Yarrowia lipolytica: one gene and its partner. The protein of the gene in region 2 interacts with the protein of the main gene of each other region in a biochemical or structural test. Links are inferred from orthologs where the notes say so. Each region holds a gene or a part of one and is shown on either strand. Other genes may lie near its edges.

The links.
Region 1: the proteins of YALI1_C26167g (region 2) and YALI1_D15296g form a complex in vitro, tested with the Saccharomyces cerevisiae proteins (3 studies listed by BioGRID). The link is inferred for Yarrowia lipolytica from reciprocal best matches to the Saccharomyces cerevisiae genes NFS1 and ISD11.

What each region holds. Positions count from the first base shown.
Region 1 is NC_090773.1:1,524,179-1,533,586, reverse strand, and holds YALI1_D15296g (uncharacterized protein), read right to left. Parts: upstream 3,947-9,408; coding exon 3,644-3,946; downstream 1-3,643. Other genes in the region: YALI1_D15333g (mitochondrial 54S ribosomal protein bL27m), read right to left, coding at 1-250; YALI1_D15304g (uncharacterized protein), read right to left, coding at 2,281-3,105; YALI1_D15288g (uncharacterized protein), read left to right, coding at 4,503-4,656, 4,708-4,868; YALI1_D15245g (uncharacterized protein), read left to right, coding at 9,042-9,408.
Region 2 is NC_090772.1:2,611,099-2,621,804, reverse strand, and holds YALI1_C26167g (uncharacterized protein), read right to left. Parts: upstream 5,027-10,706; coding exon 3,638-5,026; downstream 1-3,637. Other genes in the region: YALI1_C26215g (uncharacterized protein), read left to right, coding at 116-234, 278-368; YALI1_C26209g (uncharacterized protein), read right to left, coding at 451-660, 707-859; YALI1_C26161g (uncharacterized protein), read right to left, coding at 5,213-5,668; YALI1_C26146g (uncharacterized protein), read right to left, coding at 6,780-7,115; YALI1_C26138g (uncharacterized protein), read left to right, coding at 7,908-9,593; YALI1_C26106g (uncharacterized protein), read right to left, coding at 10,657-10,706. UniProt on the Saccharomyces cerevisiae protein: Catalyzes the removal of elemental sulfur from cysteine to produce alanine. It supplies the inorganic sulfur for iron-sulfur (Fe-S) clusters. Plays a role in both tRNA-processing and mitochondrial metabolism.

The DNA of each region.
Region 1 (9,408 bases), on a different chromosome or scaffold from region 2:
TGGTTCCTCGCTGTCGGTAGATGATGTCCGAGGGCTGGACATAGGTTCCCTCGGTGGCCTTGACACCCAGTCGTCGACCAATAGAGTCCTTGAGGTTGGTCTTACCTCCTCCAGCTCGCTTGGTGGCATGTCGCACGAGAGGCAAGGCCAAAAGAGACACGGCCTGGGGGCCCGAAAGGGACACAGAGAAGGCAGCGCCGGCGGCAGCCCGGGCACGGACCGCGGACTTAACTCCTGAAAGTCGCAGCATTGTGGTTCTGAAGAGTGTGTGGGTTTTCAGCGATTTCTGCGTGCACTGTTGGGACTCTCTACAATGGTTCAATGCTAATTTTCACGTCACGTGCAGTGGAAAAGTTTATTTTCGGATGACACTGGGTAGACGGTGCAAGGGGCGTAGATTGACAAACTTAGAGGAGCAGCAAGGGCTTTCGAGATGACGGGCCATCAAACATGATTGTAGAGCTTAGGGAAGGGGTACCGATATTTGGGTGATTTAGTTGAGACCCAATTGGAATGTTTGGCGTCGTGAATTCTACTTGGAGTGCGTATACTAGATCGGCACGCATAACTCGTTAGTTAAGCATGTAGTTGGGGTTAGTTGAGAAAGTAGTTATGGTTAGTTGATAAAGTAGTTAGGGTTAGTTGAAGAGATGCTGTTGAAGAGAGTGGCTGAGGATTTCGAGACACTCACACAACGATGGCTCCAGCGAATGCACCAGTGTGGACAACTGCCCTGAACAATGCACTGGTGTATCCTTACCCATTGCCATTAATATATCTGGTTATAACAACATCGGCGGTAATACAAGATACATACTTGTAGTTCTATCTCAGAAGTCTCCTCCTACAAATTAATAGCCTTGACTTACTCGTGATGTACAGAACCATTTGATTGAACGACATAGTAAAACCAATGGTATCTTCTCTGTCACACGAGATAATATTCCACACACACGAGAAAATAAACCGCACAAGCGTATTGCTCGGGCCGTTCACGCTTTCTGTCGAACGCACTAATTACAGTGTAAGGACAAGATAACGACCAGAATGAGATCCGAAGACGTCTCATGGGGGGTATCGCAGATTTAGATGAGCAACGGCAAGGGTACGTACGTATACGATTAGACACACAGTGGTAGTTTTTTCTGGGGGTTATCGACATTTGGTCATGATATATCCACTACACTGGTATGTATGTACTCCTACAGTATGTGCAGTTATTGGTTGCTTGTACTATGGCCGCGATAGCAGCAGTTAGTTGTGGCGATTCTGAACAGTGTCCCAGTTAAATATTTACATAATAGTTTATCTTTTCTATCCAGGAATATCAAATGTACAAGTACGAAGATGGATACCGAATATGAGCATACCAGATAGAATATCTCGGTTCAATACAACACTGCGATCTTTTTCAGACCGAGATCAGGCAAACAAAAAGCTCATCGCCTCAAGCAGCTTTCGATGCTTTCGATGACAAGGAACTGTCCATCCAAGTAATTATTGGAACATGAGTCTCGGTACGGGAGTGATGAGAAAGATGGCGAGTAAGAGGGCGTCTGGCTATTGAGAAGATTCAATAACTTGATATACTGTACAACACAAGTAGGAGTGTCGGTACTCTTCCAGATCATTGTCAAAACCAAGCATTAGACTTGTTTCTTTTATCGTGTTTTATCTAATACCACGTTGCTCAAGAACAGTTGAATGGAAAGCTTTGGCAAGGGTGACAAACCGCTAGTTTCCATTCTGAGGGACAAATTCGCTCAGCCGTTTGTTATATATCCAAGGGCTCCTTTCATATTGTCGACGACCCCCTTATGGCTCTGACAGAGCAAACCAGGGCTCCCAACACCAACGAAGACACGGCATATCGATGTGGAGAGTCGTACAAGGAATGTGTTGTCATTCCTGCACCTAGTCCCGAGCTCTTCACCAACAAACACTATTCTCCATCGTTTGATGAAGAGCAGTTCCAGGACCTTGTCAGGCAGTCTAACTACATTTTCCGCCAGTTGGAGTTTTGATACATACGTTTGACTTCATCCTTCAGGTCTGCAGATATAAAGTATTGATTTGCAGTGAGAGAAAAAGATGGACTACCAGCATAGTATGTATGTCCTGGTACATAGTAGAATCACCTCCGTCTCTCAAGACGGCTTATTCCTCCAATCAGATCATTGAAGCCGTATATCACCACAAGGATTAGTTACAAGCCCTGATGAACTTGTTGTCTTTTCCTGGTAAGCTGCAAGCTGCGCTTGTGAACGCCCATCGCCATGATCACTGAGCATGACCCATCCCACTCTTACGTCCAGTATGCTGTACTAACAAGAACCACTTTTGTTTCATCTTGCAATGCTTCATTCCCTCAGCCAGAGCAACATCTGCAGGGCGACCAGACGTCTCCAAGAAGTCAGCGAGACATCCAGCATAGTCTCTATGGATGATTCGACACTGGCTCTTGTTTCCGTCAATATCACGCTCCTCCCAACCGTTACCCCTCTTGGCACAGTCCCAAGATACCTCTGGCCCTGAGTATTTGGCCATGGTGTGCAAGGCGAGTCTGTAGAGCATCATGTCGCGCTTGTTGATGAAGACAATATCGTCTTCCAGCAGCATGCACAGTTCGTGGGAGCCGTTGGAGCAGTCTCGCAGCGTCTGGGCGTACTTGTTTCGGTACTTGTTTTCGATCCATTCCATCCATTTGAACATTTCCGGTGTTCGGAACTTGTACTCGGGGTTCTTTTTGAGAATCTCCCGTTCCTCGTCATTCTCAGCAGGTCGGTACTTAATCTTGGGAGGAGGCCCTGGGTTTGTGAACCCCTCGGGAGGAGGAACCAGCTTGTAATCCCACCGCGTATGAGCCTTGCACTGCGGGGCGACTTGCGGCGCGTCTGAGTCCAGCATAAATGTGCCCTCTCGAATCCAGTCGGTGAGATGGCCACATTCACGCTCGCATGTTGTGGTCAAGATGTAGGTTTTGATTCTGCTTTTGCCGGCCTTTCTGTCGAGCCATGACAAGTCCTTACCCAGCACGACCATCGATATGAATGCCCCCGTCAGGGCCAGGGCCGTAGCCAACGCCAGCACCCGCTTGTATCTCATGGTGTAATGTTGTGCCGTGTCTCAAAGTCGATAACCTTCATTTTTCGTCTATCATTGAACTGAAGATATGTCAACTTTATTTGTGACATTCAAACACCTGCTCATGACCACTGTACAGCGGAAAACGGCTTGTCGAGGGGAGGGGGGATCCAGCAGCATATATATACTATCCCGAGTTACACAAACACACGGGTTTACAGATCAAACCTGGAACATGACATTAATTGCAACAGTTCCGTGGTACGACCGGATCGAAAATTTGCCACTCCAGCAACAATGGCAATTTGGACATGACAGCGAGCGTACCACCATAGTCATCTCTCTCGTTTATCAGTCCCACAAAACATCATCATCATCATCCTTTCAATATATACACAGACTTCGTCCCTCCCCCTTTTTCTGTACAGAAGTCCGTTCGTTCACACACACACCGACATCGTCATGGTGGTATGCTAACCTGGGGTCCAGCTTCACGCTTTGATCCGCCGCATCTGATATGTCCCTTTTGTCTGTCTTGTCGTTCAGCGTCCGCTGTCGTTTAAACAGCAGAGTGAAGCTGCTCGTTCTTCTTGGCGAGGTTCTTGTCGGCATGCTCAACCACCAGAGGCTCGCCGGCGTACATCTGAGAAATGACGGACTGTCGCTTGAGCACGCCGAGTTCCTTCTCGGCGTACTTGATAGCAGACTCAATCTCGCCCTTGTCGGTGAGATTTCGGTTGGCATGGAAGCCGTCCCGGGTTCGTCTGATGGCGTACTGTCGGAAGTTGTAACCGGCCATTCGGTAGCCGTTTCGCAGCAGCTGTCGGTAGAGATCCAGAGCAAGGGCCTTGTGTGCGGTCATTTTCGAGGATGGAGGAGTGTGTGGTGGGTTCTAAGAATCGGTGTACGGTCCAAAAGTTGGGGAAGGCACAAGTGCTTTTATTGGGGGGTTTGGGTTCGAGTGGAGATGCTTTGCGCTGATAGGGTTCTTAGTAATGCCGAGTTGAGGAGTGAGAGGGGGCGAGTTTGAAGGGGAAATGAAGGTTGAGAGCAAGAGAGCAAAGAATCTCTAACCTATTGTATATTGAATCACACTTGCCCTTGAGTTTCCCCCATGTTTTTGCCCCACTTTCAAACTTCGCCACACGATTAAATTCAAGACACCTGTGAGATTCGAACCCACGTGTGGAAGCCAGTCGAAAGATGACTCAGCGGGCTATGGACAGACGCAGTCTGGACTTGCAGAAGAAACGTGAGTGATTGAGAGGGCCCTGGAAGTGTGCCTGAGATCAGAGACAAAAAAACAAACGACCACAGCGATGAAAAGGGAAACAAACAGACAAAAGATAATGACCTGATTGTGCTGGAATCGATCAATTCACAAAGCTGTCTCTGATGTATTTGAAAAGTTGTCTTTGATGTTTCTGAAAACAACTCTCAGCTCTACATTATGGGATGGAATACATACAGTACAGTCAACAGTCAACAGTCAACAGTCAACAGTCCACAGTTGCAAGTCCAACTCCAACCAGCTACTGTACAATACTTGTACAAGTACTCGTACTTCCGGTAGTTGGTTTCTGCGTGTCACGAAGTAGTTGCCCAACTACAAGTACCAATAAGACATGAATACACCTGACTGTTATGTTACAGGTTCGCACGATTGCATGAGCTGTTTCAAAAGCACCTACCAAGTACGATATGTAGCGCTACAAGGAGCCAGCGCGCTCGTCCTGTTACAGCTACAAGCGGTGATGGAAGACATTGTTGCTTTTTCCAATTGACTACTCGTTTCGGGTTGTTGATTTCATTTCCCTACAAGTAATACACCACTGTAGCCATTTTACAGGAGCTATAACTCAAGGTTACGCCCAAAAAAACAGGGAAATAATATTTTTCTGTTGTCTGCGAAATCTGAAACGTGAGCACGTCAAATGCGAAAATACGCGACGATCTATACGGTGATTGTCATCTTTGGCAAGCAGACCAACCACTTATTATTTCTCACCCAACTATGAAGGAAAAAGCAAGTCCACCTGTACCGACCAGCCCTTATGTCTACAGCTGTGCTGTGGAGGTCGTACTCTTAGCGTAGCCTTGTGGGGTGAGAGAATTAAAAAAAAAGACGATTTAAGTAAGAACATGAAGAAAATGGTTGTTACTTGAAAGAAAATGGTTGTTACTTGAAAGAAAATGGTTGTTACATGAAAGAAAAATAATTGCTTCATAAAAGAAATGATTTGTTCCACTAGACGTCTGGATACTGGCTCGTAATACAATACTGGATTTTTTGATCCACGACCCTCGCTCAAAAGACGACGTCTCCAGTTTGACTCGCCTATAAAACGTAAAACGTCCAGCCGCACAGGCAGGGTCCACACTGCCCCTATAAAAACTGCTGTATAACTGCGGTTCATGTATTTTTTTTGTATCCACTATTCCAACGCACTGCTGAACCCCTAATGGCTGCTAACCGTCTGTGGCTGCCAACTAATGCACCATTCACTCGGGTGGAGGATAATTATTTCCACCTGCACGCCGACGATGGAGGTTTAGGAGGTTGAGTGCAGTCCATCAGTTGCTATGAAAGTGCACCTGTACGAGCACAAGGAGGAAAAACACAGAAGCCGGTATCTCATTGCATCCCCTTAGAAAGATATCGATTAGATCCCGAAAAAGGGGTTGAACAGGAGAGGGAGAAGTAGAACGGTTGTTTTCTTGTTCTAAGCGAGCCGTGCGAGGTATCGTGCAGTAGAATTAGAGGTTCTGGAAGCTCCAAACTAATCAATATCTACGGCTAGGCGGTGTGTAGAGTTAATGGATATGGAGACCACATTTAAAATGTTTGATTGTCCAAGTCATAGATCAAGCCCATCACTCAGATAGAGGACTAAGTACTACAAGTGGAGAAAGGTTCGTTCTCCACCGGTGCCAACCCACCTTTACAATCAGGGGTTCACGAAAAGAGCGCTCAGGCTCACAGTAGAGAATGTATCAGTGCATAAAACCAATTGCATACCTACATGGCAAGCGCCACCCCCGCTAGATCCGCTATGGTGCGTACTGGTACGTAAACAATGCCTCTTACCGGTGAGTTAGGACATGCCGACCAAACGGCCCCGTATGTCCGTGGAGGCGACAAAACGAGTGGTTGGGTGGCATTTTAAAGAGCTATAACCGGCTAAACAGACCCATCCGTTAGTTATGGGTCAAAAGGGCCAGATCTGAATGTTCTCGGCCCAGTTTTGAGCAGGAACGACGCCATGGGGTCCATGGGGTCGAGATGCAGGTGCAGGTACACACACTTGGGCTGGTATGATTTGTGATCATTCTGTGCACCAACGGTATGTGCAGTAACCACTTATTTCTCGTGTACTTGACTTGTTCCGTACTTGACTTGCTTCTTGCCGGCTCTTCACTGGGTCCCTTCTTTTAGACTCGATGGACCCGTTTGTCTCGCGAGATACAAGTGGATGGGGAAAATAGGATTTAACACAAAGTTCTTACACGTCCAAAAACGGAACAATTGCAAACCTAAACAAAACCATGCACCCCCGATTGGGAAAGAGGTATACACAGATTTGGGTCAATACAAACAAATGTCGGAGCATAGATTGTCCACGCGGCGTGAACGGTGATAGTCGAGTGGCAGCAGGCGCATTGGATGATGGGTCTGGGTAGACCAAGAGATGGAGAGGCGAGAGCGCCAAAGTTCAATATTATCGGAGCGGGCATCGGCGTCATGTCGCTGAGCTCCAGTACATGGGGTGCTAATATTATTTGATTGGGAGCCCAAATAATATCTGCACAACTTTTTTCAGACTGAGCTGACACAGACAAGACGGTTATTATTTCGTGGAGATGGCTGGAATGCACCCCTGCCTCGATACATGTGTGTCTTGGAAAGTGGTGGTGACGTAGTGTACTGACCATGGTGGTATTGATGGTACCATGTTGTTGTAGCTACAGCGAGTAGGCGGTGCGAGCTTACCACCTAAAGTAAGTGTACAACCTACTGTACTGGGCTTGTACAATGCTCTACCCTACATTGCAACACCTCAATCACGCACAATCTCGCCCGTCAAGCAGAGTCGCAACTACGGTAGTCTCACCACGCTATAACCATACTCATGCGTAAAGATCCGGTTGCACGAGTCTGTTTTTTGTGCTTCGTCTCGGTCGCTCTGACTGCTTGAAAATAACTCAGTTTGTTATTTTTCATGTACTGTAAGATGTGCAGCTTGCAGACCATTGATCGGAGCCAACCTAGTGTCTACGGACCCCGACCTCCTCAGTATTATATCAGCCGTTTTGGCGGACGGAGACATGTGTCTAAAGCGTGTCGCTCTAGCGGGGCAGCTACTGCAATAATATCGGGTTATTATAGGACAGGTTTTGGGCCTTTGGCGAGCTCGGGTGTGGTATAGTGCCAGTAGCATGCTCCATCCACTTGACAACCTAGAGCGGTCCAAGCATAAGTACAGACTCAGACTCTCTACATACTGTGCACCGGAGTACAAGTACCGGAGCTTGGCCGAAATGAAAGCCTAGGCCGTGGACCCCAGCCAATGCAGACCGTTGGGTTAGCCGAACTTGGGCCAGCTGTCACTGTTGGATCCCGCAGTGGTACAGATTACAAGGCCCGACAAAGTAGCTCGTTTGCTGCTGCTTTAGCCCACTCCACAATGGTCCCCACTACCCAAAGTGTATCTGGAACACAATGTCATTGAGTTGACAGCGACAGGCGATACACTCTTTGCTGGTTGCGGTGCGTACAGTTGAGAGTGAAAACCTATTACTGTGCTGTAATTACACACACTAGGTTCGAGCACTATCTGGCCTTGTGGTGTAGAGCCGATGGTGATCAGATGTGGTTTAAGACATGAGGTTGTAGATTGGAACAAGACAGGTCCACACGGACCACACGCACAGTACATAGAAAGAAAAACGAGTTACAAGTAGTACATCCTCTCTTCAAGCAAGTCTCCGCCACTACTAGTAGCTCCTGCACGAACGTTGATGAATGGAAACATGACATGGTCTCAGAGGCGCCACCACCCTCCTGCGCCATCTCCCCACTCTACAATCTGGGTGCCGTATGCTGTATGTGCAAAGTGCAGCGAGCATTGGGCATGAAGAGGAGGAGGAGTAGGTACCAGACCCACAAAGTGTGCGACACTGGATCATGACGAGAGTACTTGTGCTTGCTCCTCGTATAGCTGTCATTGTATCATCTTGACAACGTTGCATCCTGGCAGTGTATCGGTAGGATGACACGGTCCGGCAGCAAGGCTGAAAAGTGGTCGCTTTTGTAGCTACCCAAACACGGTACTTGGTAGGTACCGTGTCTGGGTGGAGCAGAGAGGTTCGCCTTTTATCTTTCACATCTATCAACATTGCCTCATAGGTCCCAAATGACCCAATCCGTCTCGAACTTGCTCCCGCCGCTACTGAAGCCACAGGTAGCAGGTAACTCGGCCAGTCCAAACCACACGTAACACGTTCTTTTTTGGCGTAGCTGCACAGTTTTTGGTTCGCCTTTGTGTTTTTGTGTTTTTTTTCTCCCAGCAAGTCCCTTTTGTGCTTCTTTGTCTGGGATAAACCTTTGTCAAGACGCGCTAAGTGTGCTAAGTGCAAAAGTCTATTTCCGAAGTAGTGAAGCTGGGTAAACTGTCTCCAGGAAATCATGTATATACATCTCTGTCTGGAGAATCAAAAGACACGCCGTATTCGACATCCATTTCTCCAGCAGCGACAGCCCTCCGACGGCTGAGCGCACTCCTACCGATACCCTGGCTGAGGAATACACACACACACACACACACACTCACACCTCAGAGATACGACTGATCTGATAAACTGGTAACAACTCCTCGACCAGTATAGTATAATTCAGTCGACAGATAAAATCGACACCCTCGACACTTTCGACACTTTCGACACACATCGCATGCGCAATGATCATCAGCCTGACTGTGACCGTTAAAACGACGCTGTCGTGTGTGTTTGTGCTTCTGCCGATTCCCGTGGCGGTTCTGGCGTTCGTGGCCGCTGCTCCGCTAACCTCGCCTTGGAGAGCAGCCCTGTATCTTCAGGGAGCCGCCTCGGTGGCCCAAGCGGCGTCCTATGCGGCCTTTCTGGTGCATAAGAAAGCCATTCCTGCGTGTGTCTTTTCGGCCTTTTTAGCCTGGCTGGCTGGCATGGTCTTCTACGCTAAAGTAGTGAGAGATGTGGCCTTTGATGACAATAGCGGGAGTGTTCTGGTGACCCATCACGCAGGCGTGACCACGGCCCATTTCGCCCTCTGGAGCATAGTCGCAGCTC
Region 2 (10,706 bases):
TTGCACACGGCAATGCTCTCTCAGGGTCTCTCATCTTGCACCGTTCGAGGTTGGCCTTCGCTTAATCTTTTTCAGATCAACCAGACGCTCAGATAGTCCCACTAGCTCGCTGCTAATGCACCTCCGACTTGGACATTTTCATCTCTGCCAAGCTGCAGTCTCCAAGATGGGGTATGCAGAAAGAACTGAAATCCTGAAAAGAGTCTTGCTAACGGTCCATGTCGTCGTGTGGAGGTGGGTGCGGTTGGACAGCATCTGAGAAGACATGTACCCCCAGCCCAAAAGCAACACTCTGGAGTCTTCAGTCACACCGTTTCCTCCGACTTCTCCGACCTGTCAAAAAACCCCTACGAGTGCTTACTTTGTAGTGTATATGCTACAGTACACACTTGTGCCTTGTTTGTTCAGGGACATCCGTCGGATGCTTCCCACCCAGATGTGGTTGAGACGTCATGATGAATCAGACAAGCGACGGTGAGGAGTGACAGCAAGAAGGGGGTTGATTGGCCCATAATGGTGCGTTCGTAGTGTACACTCCCGCGAGCGTCTGTGGGTAGTCTCGTCGGCCACGTCTCGTAATCCAACAGGTGTGATTCCTTCATTGGACCTCAGACTCAAGTGCGGGCACACAACCGAGTCCAAGGTGCCAGTGTCAACACGCTCGCCCTTTTTACAACCTAATCCCTGCCCTGCCTATAGGTAAGACACAGCCAAGCACGGTAAAGCATACATGTGGCATATGCGCCGGTTCCATGTTACAGAAGAGTCGGGGTTGAGTTGTCCAAGACGACGTGCACTCGTGGATGTTTATTTTCGACTGTAATCCGCCCTGGGGAAGCTCGGTCGGAACAGGAAGCATCTTTTGGAGAACCTCCGGTCCGAGTCAGTTTCTTTTAACGACTCCGTCCGAGCCGTAACTCAGTCACCACCTGACTCTCAGCCGTTGTCACCAGCCTCTTGAGTGTGAAAAGCGTGTGCAAGAAGCTACAAGCAAGTAGGGACAAAAGCAAAAGTCAGCCTGAAAAACCAGCCCAACCCTAACGACGTGTTCCAGAAGCACTCAGCCGACGCTCAGACAATGGACGCTTAGGTTTGCAGGTATACGAGACTGTAGATCGGGCCGTATGGCGGTGGTGGGTATTGTTGTCCGTAGCCGGGTTCCCCTAGCGATGATGACCGTATCTAGCGTGCCAGAAGCTGGGTCTCAGTTGGACGATAGCTCCAAAGAAGACCTTGCAAAGAAGCAGACTGGCCTTGGAGACGAACAAACAGTCTAATGTAAATTTCCACCAAGCGTTTACTTATGAACCGTCCATGTATGTCATTTGCTCTGCTCTTTGACAGGGAGGAGGTATATCAAACAAGAAGCACCAGTAAATACTGTATATACATGCCATGTACACCACACCAGGCTTAAACCGTCTCAATACCCATTGGATCGCTAGTTCACCAGGTTGAACCACTAGCACACTGTACCTTCGGACCCGAGTTGCATCCAAGTTGCTTTTTTGATTGTCTCAAGATAGAGTATTAATCTCAGCTTGCTTTTTTGGCTGCTCTTCCCGCCAACGTTTCATAATGACGACGTATCTACCCGAACCACCATCTCCCCTACAGGTGCCCTTACTCGCGGTCGTCGAGAAATCCCTCGACTTATGTCAGTCTTTGTCTTCACCTATTGTCTAATTATTACACTACATTACACCCTATAAATCTTCACTAATGAACTCCCTCCAACGCCCGCCATTTCCACTGCATTGGTACACAGGTGCAGGGGAATGGAGAGTTTTGCATATTCGACAAAACAGGCAAGTCCAGCAGGAAGCTAATAGAAGCGCGAGGGAAAGAGATGGGGCCCTCTAATTGTACACTGGCGACTTTTCCTGCTCTCTCGCGGTCCCGCCACGTCAAAGTACCGGCTCCAGACACCATTGTCGTCCGTCTCATTCGCAAGCCCTGCACTTGCACCATGTGTGGTGGTGCTCCCTGCAAGGATGAGAGATGTGCCTAAAGTTCTTCATTTCCCATGTGCAGAAAAGCCAAACCGAACCTCACCACGAACAAGCGTCTTGTACACCAACCACTAATGGCACAAACCACTTGTGAGCTTGTAAGCGAGGGGTTTGTAGCGGGAAAAAACAACAGGTAGGTTGGAAAATTGACCTCTTCCTCGACCCTTTGCTGTCACGGCTCGAAAACCCCCTTGGTAGTCAGACATCTGACAGCTGCCAGCTCACGCATCTACTGTAACTCCATCTGACAGCAAAGCGTCGAGCAAGAGCCCCCAACAGACCTCGGGATGTTGTGTTACCCGTTTGGGTGCTCACGGAAACTACATCGACTTCCAAAATAACCCCAAACTAATGCAACCTTTGATTTTTTGCCCATCTTATAGATCGTGTGAGTGAGATCCATACAAGAGTCCCGCAACGAACCGATCCGTTACCCTAGAGACTGGAACTAAAGAGAGAACAGATGCTGGAGATGACATCGGAATAAAGGACGTTAGTCTGCAGAGCCCGAGTGCCCGTTACCATGCTGTATGTTGCTCAGCCAGGCTATCTACAATCCAGCTACTCAACCGTCTGGTCAGGTCCAACAACCCTCGTCATATGTGGAGAACTACACACATACTTGCAACTGCTCTCTTTGGAAATCCTTCTACACCCATAAGCATGCCATAAACGAACGCCTTTCGTCCCTTACGCCTATCGCAAAGATGCTACTGCCGCTACCGGCACCTCCGCAGCCTTCACAGCTAAGCTCAGAGTTGGACTACAGTATGTACTGGACCAACCAAGCTCAGAGATCCAAGCACCAAGCTCAAAAGTGGAGACTGGAGAGTTATGCTTGCACTAAAGACCATTAGGCATGTCTGGTGTAAGCCGTATCGAGACCAGGTCACATTTCAGCTCAAACCCTAGCAACTGCTTGAGCTACGGGCCATGTCGGCTAACGCCCCCCTCGAATGTCTGTTGCGGTATGTGCCAAACGATTCGCACAGCATGTACTCGCACCGGCGACCTTCCAGGTGTTTATCGGTGTCGTATGTTTGACTCCTTACACGGAATTGGAACGACAAAGAGAAAGGAGTTGAACTGACCTTCACTAAGACCCCCCCAAGACGATTAGTTCGGTATGTAACTCTTCGTTTCCTCGAGTAGAAGTGGACTCTCTTGCCCTAATCCTTGAAACTGGGCTATATCTCGTATCAGCTACTGCACCCTTAGTGATTCTGCACTATGGTTAGCTGCATTTTACCACTAGGATAGCACATGACAATACAACACTACGCCAACCACCATCTTCAGGTACTACACGGATACAAGCCAATCGTGGTGTCATCAACTACCCATTGGCTGCTGGAGCATATTGGAGTCGTCCGTAGGAATACTGGTTGGAACGCAGACTACAAGTAGCCAATGATAAGCCATATTCTTCACGTCCACTCTTTCTCAACTCATATCTCTACCTTACTATCATTCACTATTCATCACATGCCATGCCTATATATCACGGCTCATCAGTTTTTTGTTTATTGTTGCGGATCTAGTTGCACCTGATTCGTACACTTGTCTAGAACAGTTCATACCGCTTATCATGGTTGCGCAATGTTTTTGCTGGCTGCCATGTTCGCTTAATGCTGAGACCACTCAATAGAATCCAAATCAATACCCTCCTGGACCATCTCCCACAGAGGAGACAGCTCTCGCAGGAAGTTGACTCGCTCCTGCACGGCCTTAAGCACGTAGTCGACCTCGGCCTCAGTGGTGAATCGACCAATACCAAATCGAATGGAGGAGTGGGCAAGAGCGTCATCGGCACCAAGAGCCCGGAGCACGTAAGAGGGCTCGAGAGAGGCAGAGGTGCAGGCGGATCCAGAAGAAAGAGCAATGTCCTTGAGAGCCATCAGCAGAGACTCTCCCTCAACGTAAGCAAAAGAGATGTTGACACAACCGGGGTAGTGGTGCTCAGCGTCTCCGTTCAGAGAAGTGTGCTCCATGGCCAGGAGACCGTTCTTGAGCTTGTCAGACAGCTTCTTAATGTGGGCGGTGTCGTAGGGCATCTCCTGTCGACACAGACGGGCAGCCTCTCCAAAGCCAGCAACGAGGGGGGCAGCCAGAGTTCCAGATCGAAGACCTCGCTCCTGACCTCCACCGGTAATGATGGGCTCGAGACGCACTCGGGGTCGTCGTCGCACGTAGCAGGCACCGATACCCATGGGGCCGTAAAGCTTGTGTCCACTTATGCTCATAACATCAATCTTGTCGGCGTTGACGTCGATGGGGATCTTTCCGACGGCCTGGGCAGCATCGGTGTGGAAGAAGACCTTCTTGGATCGACACAGAGCGCCAATCTCAGCAATGGGCTGGATCACACCAATCTCGTTGTTGACGGCCATGATGGACACCAGAGCAGTGTCGGGTCGAATGGCGGCCTCCAGCTGCTTCATGTCAATGAGACCGGAGGACAGAACGGGCAGGTAAGTGACCTCGAAGCCCTCATCCTGCAGGTATCGGCACGAGTCCAGAATGCACTTGTGCTCGGTCTGGGTGGTGATGATGTGTCGCTTTCGGCCCTTGTAGAACCGGGCAATACCCTTGATGACCATGTTGTTGGACTCGGTGGCGCCGGAGGTGAAGATGATCTCCTTGGGGTCGGCTCCGATTAGGGCGGCAATCTCCTCTCGCGCCTTTTCGACAGCGGTGTCGGTCTCCCATCCGTACGAGTGTGTTCGCGAATGGGGGTTGCCATACATGTCCGTATAGTAGTTGAGCATCACGTCCAGCACACGGGGGTCCGTGGGGGTAGTGGCCTGCATGTCCAGGTAGATGGGTCGCTCATCGCCGGCAGGAGCGTTCTGGACAGCCTCGACGGCCTTGGCCACCAGAGATCCCTCAGGCGCAGAAGCGGTGAAGGTCTCTGTGGAGGGCGCGTGGGTGGCCAGGGATCGGGCCAGCGAGGGGTACGCGGTCCTGGTGGCCATTGCACGGCCCACGCTTCGAAACGCAAGTCGGAGGGTCATTGCGTGTGTGTAGTCTTGTGTGGGTGGAGGTAGACAGTTGTAGGTGCACCGTTTTCTCTGGGGAAGCCAATTTTGGGAGGTGTAAATCACGGCACGTGTAAACGAGATACTGGACGGTGGCGAAGAATAGTAGAGAGCAAGTGGGTCACGGGACAGATAGAGAGCTTATTCTGAAGAGGGGAGAATTTAGAGTAAAACAAGGCTGTTTTTGTCTTTCCATCGTGTAGATTGTGCCTTCTTTTTTCGACATCTGAAATCAACACCCACAGGACATGTATGTTCCAGCCAATAGATAGAGTTATGCAAGAAGAGGTTAGTGGGGGTTGATTGGTAAGCCTCGTGAAGTGCATACCTGGGGAGTGGTCTAGACGTGGTATCGACGGTCTGAGCACGTGATGCGAGATTTATACGTCCTATGACCAGACTGGAACAAAAACACGTGTTTAAAAGTCGACTGAGAAGACTCCTTTTACCCCCTCCCCTGCTACACACCCTCCGCGTGAAACTCGGATGCAGAAAAATATTAATGTAGGCGGAGATATTTCCATGCAGGTGATCCAAGAGAAGCAAAGACCAATAATAGCCGAAAGTCGCAGGGCGTATCCGGCAATAAACTGAGTTCTGGGGTCGGAGAGATGTCATAGAGAGCCATTGGCACGAGTACTGACTAGACGAGCGGTGATATAGATGCTTGTATTTGGTTTGATTGGGTTATGCCCTTGAAACACCTCTTCGTTGCTATGTTAACGAACATTCTGTACAGAACGTACAGAACAGTGTGAGTACTCGAGCGTCTTCCACAGGATTCGAACCGAGACAAGTTGCAGAGTCAATCATGACTCAAATATACTTCCGAGCCGGAGATGGAATCCCTCTCATCGATACAACGCACCCCATCTAACCATGCATATTCTCGGCCACTCACCGGCGCATGCCATCTTGAGATATTGACGTGTGGGCAGGAAATAGTAGTCACGTGATCATATGAATCGGCTGCAAGTAGCAAACAAGCTGGGGTTCAGTTTCACAGCCAGTTTGTTCACCCACATGTGCACCAAGCTACAGTTGCTTGCTTGTTTCAACCGTTTTCTTTGTCGTCGTTTTGAGTTGCCGTTGGATTTCTCCGCAGATTGGCAAGCATATATCTCGATGGGGAGTACTCGAAAAACACATCTCTTTGAAAAAATCATGTCGAAAGCACAAGAAAAGGCTATCTACGTATCCATTTTCCCTTTTCAACTTCGCGTATATCGTCATTCACAGACCAAAACAAAAGAGATCGTGTAACTCAAAGTGAATCAAAGTTTGAAAGAGTTGGGTGGGGGGTCGGCCTTTGAAGGGACGCTCAGTCGGGCTTCCAAGTGTATTATTGTTGTATTTGGCAAGTTGTGTTAGTTTTTACAATCAAATATGGTCAGGTATCTCGGTTTTTGTCAGTTTGTCTCATAGTGCAGTCTCTCAGCACAACTAGCAACACTGCACAACATGCGTCCATCGTGCTTCGAAAGTTGTAAATCGTCGAACAGATGGTCTGTACTGTAGATATACATCAGTAAAGCTGTAGATCAATAGGTTATGTAATAATTCTGCACTATAAGACTTCCGAGTTCATGGTTGCCATCCGTTTACGCATGGTATTGTCGTCTATATACTTGTACTTCACAGCCGTGTACTTGGCTCAGGTTTGCGGTTTGCATGTAATGAGAGCATTCCTTGTAGTTCAGTTGGTCGCACAAATTGATACAGGAGCGTTTCACAGACACATAACTCTCGGTCCAACCATGTGAATCATGTTACAGAGCTCTTCGGTCAGAGGATGATCAGGACCCAGCACGTTCACCAGATGCTGGCCAAGGATCATAATCTTCCGGGCAATAGAGCCCAGCTCAGTTCGGGCAGGCTCGGGCATTTGGTCGTACTGCAAGTGAACCACGTCGTAGTATTGTGCCAGGGCTCCCAGCCTGTTTAGCTGGATTTTGAGGTAGGTGACACAGCCTTGGAGGTCGATTGGGCCGTCATGTTTACTGGAGAAGCTTGACATCATCTTGTTGAAGGGATCGTGCTTGTTGATAGAAAACTTGTGAGCCATTTCGAGCGATATATCTGTGTTTTGTATCTAGCCTGTTTATGGTATGGAGAAGAAGGGATTCTGGATCTTCAGTAAACATGGTTATGGGCATAATGGAAGGGCGCAAAACAGAGCTGAGAGAAGTCATGTAAATGATATCACATTACGCCAGTTTTAGAGGAAGGAAATGTACAGATAATAGAATTGATAAGACGGCAAGAGAACTAGAGTTTCTATGGTTATCTTTTACGGCTACGGAATAGATATCCAGAACGCTCAGAACGACCTTGAACTTTTATGCTACTATCATACATACCACATACTCGTATATCAAGATAATGCGCTATAACCCGATAACTAACTCAGATCCGAAATACCACAAAGAATTCACCAACATAAATCGTTTCTTTCATCATTTTGCTTTCCAAATCGCCCAAAAAGATATGCCATAATGTCAAAGTCTTCGTTACCAGCCTACATTACGATTATCAGCTAAAAAAAAAGGTTTTCGCTTAACAAACGAAGAGTAAATACAACAGAGGAACATTCAAGACACTTCAACAACACATAGTAACATGTCATTAAAGCTGAATTTTTGTGCGCTGACCAAATTAGGTCCAGCGAACTGATTCCTCTTAAAGGCTTGTCTCTATATCTTCTCTACAACCGCCCCTATCTCCCATCCTCCAGTCCCCTTGTCTCCACATAAACTTTCGTACCATAGTCCCAGCTTGTCACATGACCTGGCGATTCTAGGTTTTTCAATTACCACATCACCACAGCCAGCATTATACCCCCATCACAAACAGCAGAATGGAGAACCCGCTTTTGACTGTTCTTTCGCACCGAACCGCGGGAATCGAGTACCGGGGAGTCGTCACTAAGCGTCTGGCGACCCTCAAGCGTCGGCTCGGCGTCCAGACCAAAAACACAAAGGAGTACTCGCCCAAGCAAGTGTCCACCGAAGATGTAGTTCAGGACGCTCGATTCGCACAACTGCTGCTGCTGCAAGCCGAGCGGGCCTGGGCCGTGTCTCAGGAGACGGCATCTATTCTCGAGACCAACGGATCAGCCGGCAAGCGGAAACGGGTGGCATCCAAGCTGACTAAGGCCGTGCAGTATGCCATGGCCCTGGAGCAGTCTGTCTCCGACACACAGAGCGACGAGGTGCGTCTGCAGATCGCCACGTATCGTCTGCTGCTGGAGGGCGCTCTGTACGCACACAAAAAACAGTGGCAGAAGCTGGTGCAGCCCTACTCTGCGGCTCGAGTGGGTCTGTCTGCTCTCATCACTCTGGCCAAGGACGCTGAGGAGGCCGAGCTGCTGGCCGACGTCATTTCCACCCAGATCGACCCTGCTCTCGGTGTCGCCCTGCTCAAGGTTTCTCCTGACCGAAAGCTCGATCTCGAAAACGCCTCCAAGGGCTACGTTGATGCCGGATCCGACTTTGGAAAGTTGGTCGAGAAGATCAATCCCCACGCTCTGGAGGTGGACGAGGCCCACGGACTGGACGAGATTGAGTGGAGAGGCCACCAGGCTAAAATTACCGACCCCGACGTGGCCCGAACCGTCAGCAACGCCCTGACCCAGACCAAGGCCGAGGAGAAGACCATCTCTGACTACGATACTCTGCTGTCGCTGTGGCAGTCTGCCAACGATCTTGTCAAGGAGGAGCTGGAGCGATTTGAGCTGGCCGGAATCGCTGCCCACGACGACACCACCCAAAACGCCCACATTGTGCTGACCTTCATCAACTTCCACATGCTGCAGCAGCGAATCGAGCGAGACCTGCTGCTTCTGAGCGAGGTGTCACAGCTTAAGACGGTCGACCGAAAGGACCACGCCAAAACCAACAAGGAGAAGCTTCCCAGTGCGCTGAAAATCTCCACCCACACCCGACTGTTGCAGCTCAAGGACTCGGTGCGTCTGCTAGGCAACATTGTGCAGTCTGTCGATGAAATTCTCAATCTGGCCGGTGTCTCCAACGACTCCTCCCTCGTTTCTGCTCTTACAGCCACCAAGGCTGCTTACAGAGCCCAGAAGCTTGCTGCCATCGGTGCGTCTTACGACCTGGTTGGAGACTACAAGAACGCCCTTGCTCTCAATAGCAAGGCTCTTCAGCTGCAACAGACTGTCGGTGACGCTGATCATGCTGCTGTCACTGGAATCCAGGTTCCAAAGAACGCCCAGCTCGTTGCAAACACCGCACGACTGCAGGCGCTGGAAACAATTGCCCAGAGACTGACGGAGAAGCCCCTTAACCACCCCGTTTCAGATAACATGGACTCGTATCCCATGGCAACTGCCTCGGACACGGCTCACAACATTGTGGAGTTTGACCAGCGGCTGAAACCCGTGTTGGTCAAGCCCGTCTTCTTCGACATTGCCTACAACTACGTCGATTACCCGGCCGAGGTGCAGGCCGTGGAGACTGCCAAGGGCGGCGAGGAGCAGAAGACTAAGAAGAGTGGATTTTTGGGCGGACTTTTCCGAAAGTAAGGAGACAGGAATATACATATGTAGTAGGAAAATATATAGCTCAAGCAAGTGGCTCTGGGCTTTGGACTTCAGAGATGCTGGATGCAGTACTTGTAGTAGAGAAAGGTGATTCGGTAGTACAGTACCTACACTGGATGATGCAGAATTCGTTCTACGAGAGAGCGCTCAATATAGGGCATTGAAATTCCTCAGTGCTATGAAGCAAATAGTGCATACTTCTGAGTAATAAACAACGAGTTACTATCTTGAACTTGCCCTTTGCGTTTGAATCACCTGAGGGAAGCTGTGGATCAGATAAACTGGCGATAAGATGAAAAATGTTCCAGATTTTGCTAACGAATACTCTTTGGTGCAGGCAAGGAGAGACTGTGGCAGTGTACTCTCTAACCAATCCGGGAATATGACCTTCTTGGGACAGTATCGAACACGGAGGAGAGCCCAGTCTAGCTCGCTGCAGTCTGCCTCAAGATAGTCCACCTTGAATTCTTCTAGTGGAGGAGTCAGCATTCACGTTCTTTGGTACCGCGAACTTCTGTTTCTCTGCTTAGATATCTTGAGTGGCCTGGCAGTTGATTGAAGCAGTCAATAATGGAATAATGGGGTTGTCGGTTCAGGCCAGACTATTGATATGTGGCAGAAGAACAAAGATGTGACATGGAAAACGACGACTTGGGTACTTTTTCTTCACAAATTGATCGCCCTGAGTCCAAGTTGAGCTTCTCAATTTATCTGACGGAGAGACAAACTATCCGTGGACCTTTGGATGGCTTCTCAGGCAGCTCTTACAAGCGACCATAGGTCGTGTAAGTAGACGGAAGTAGCTGGGATGAGTTAGCAAAAATACTGAACTGATTTATGACGTTAAATGGGCATTAGTTATGACATTACTCATTAATGTAGACGCTCAATCACTCGTAATCCGTAATCTCGCCGCTGTATGACAGCGTCTCATTGTAAGATGAATACACGTCCGTTCAAGAACTAGATCAGTATACACAGTATAAGGAACAACAAACTGTTGATTAAAATGACATTAATAAATAAATATTTGCGGCCGATAACATTAGCCACGTCTGACCCCCCCTCTTCGGATCCCTCCTCCTCTGACTGATC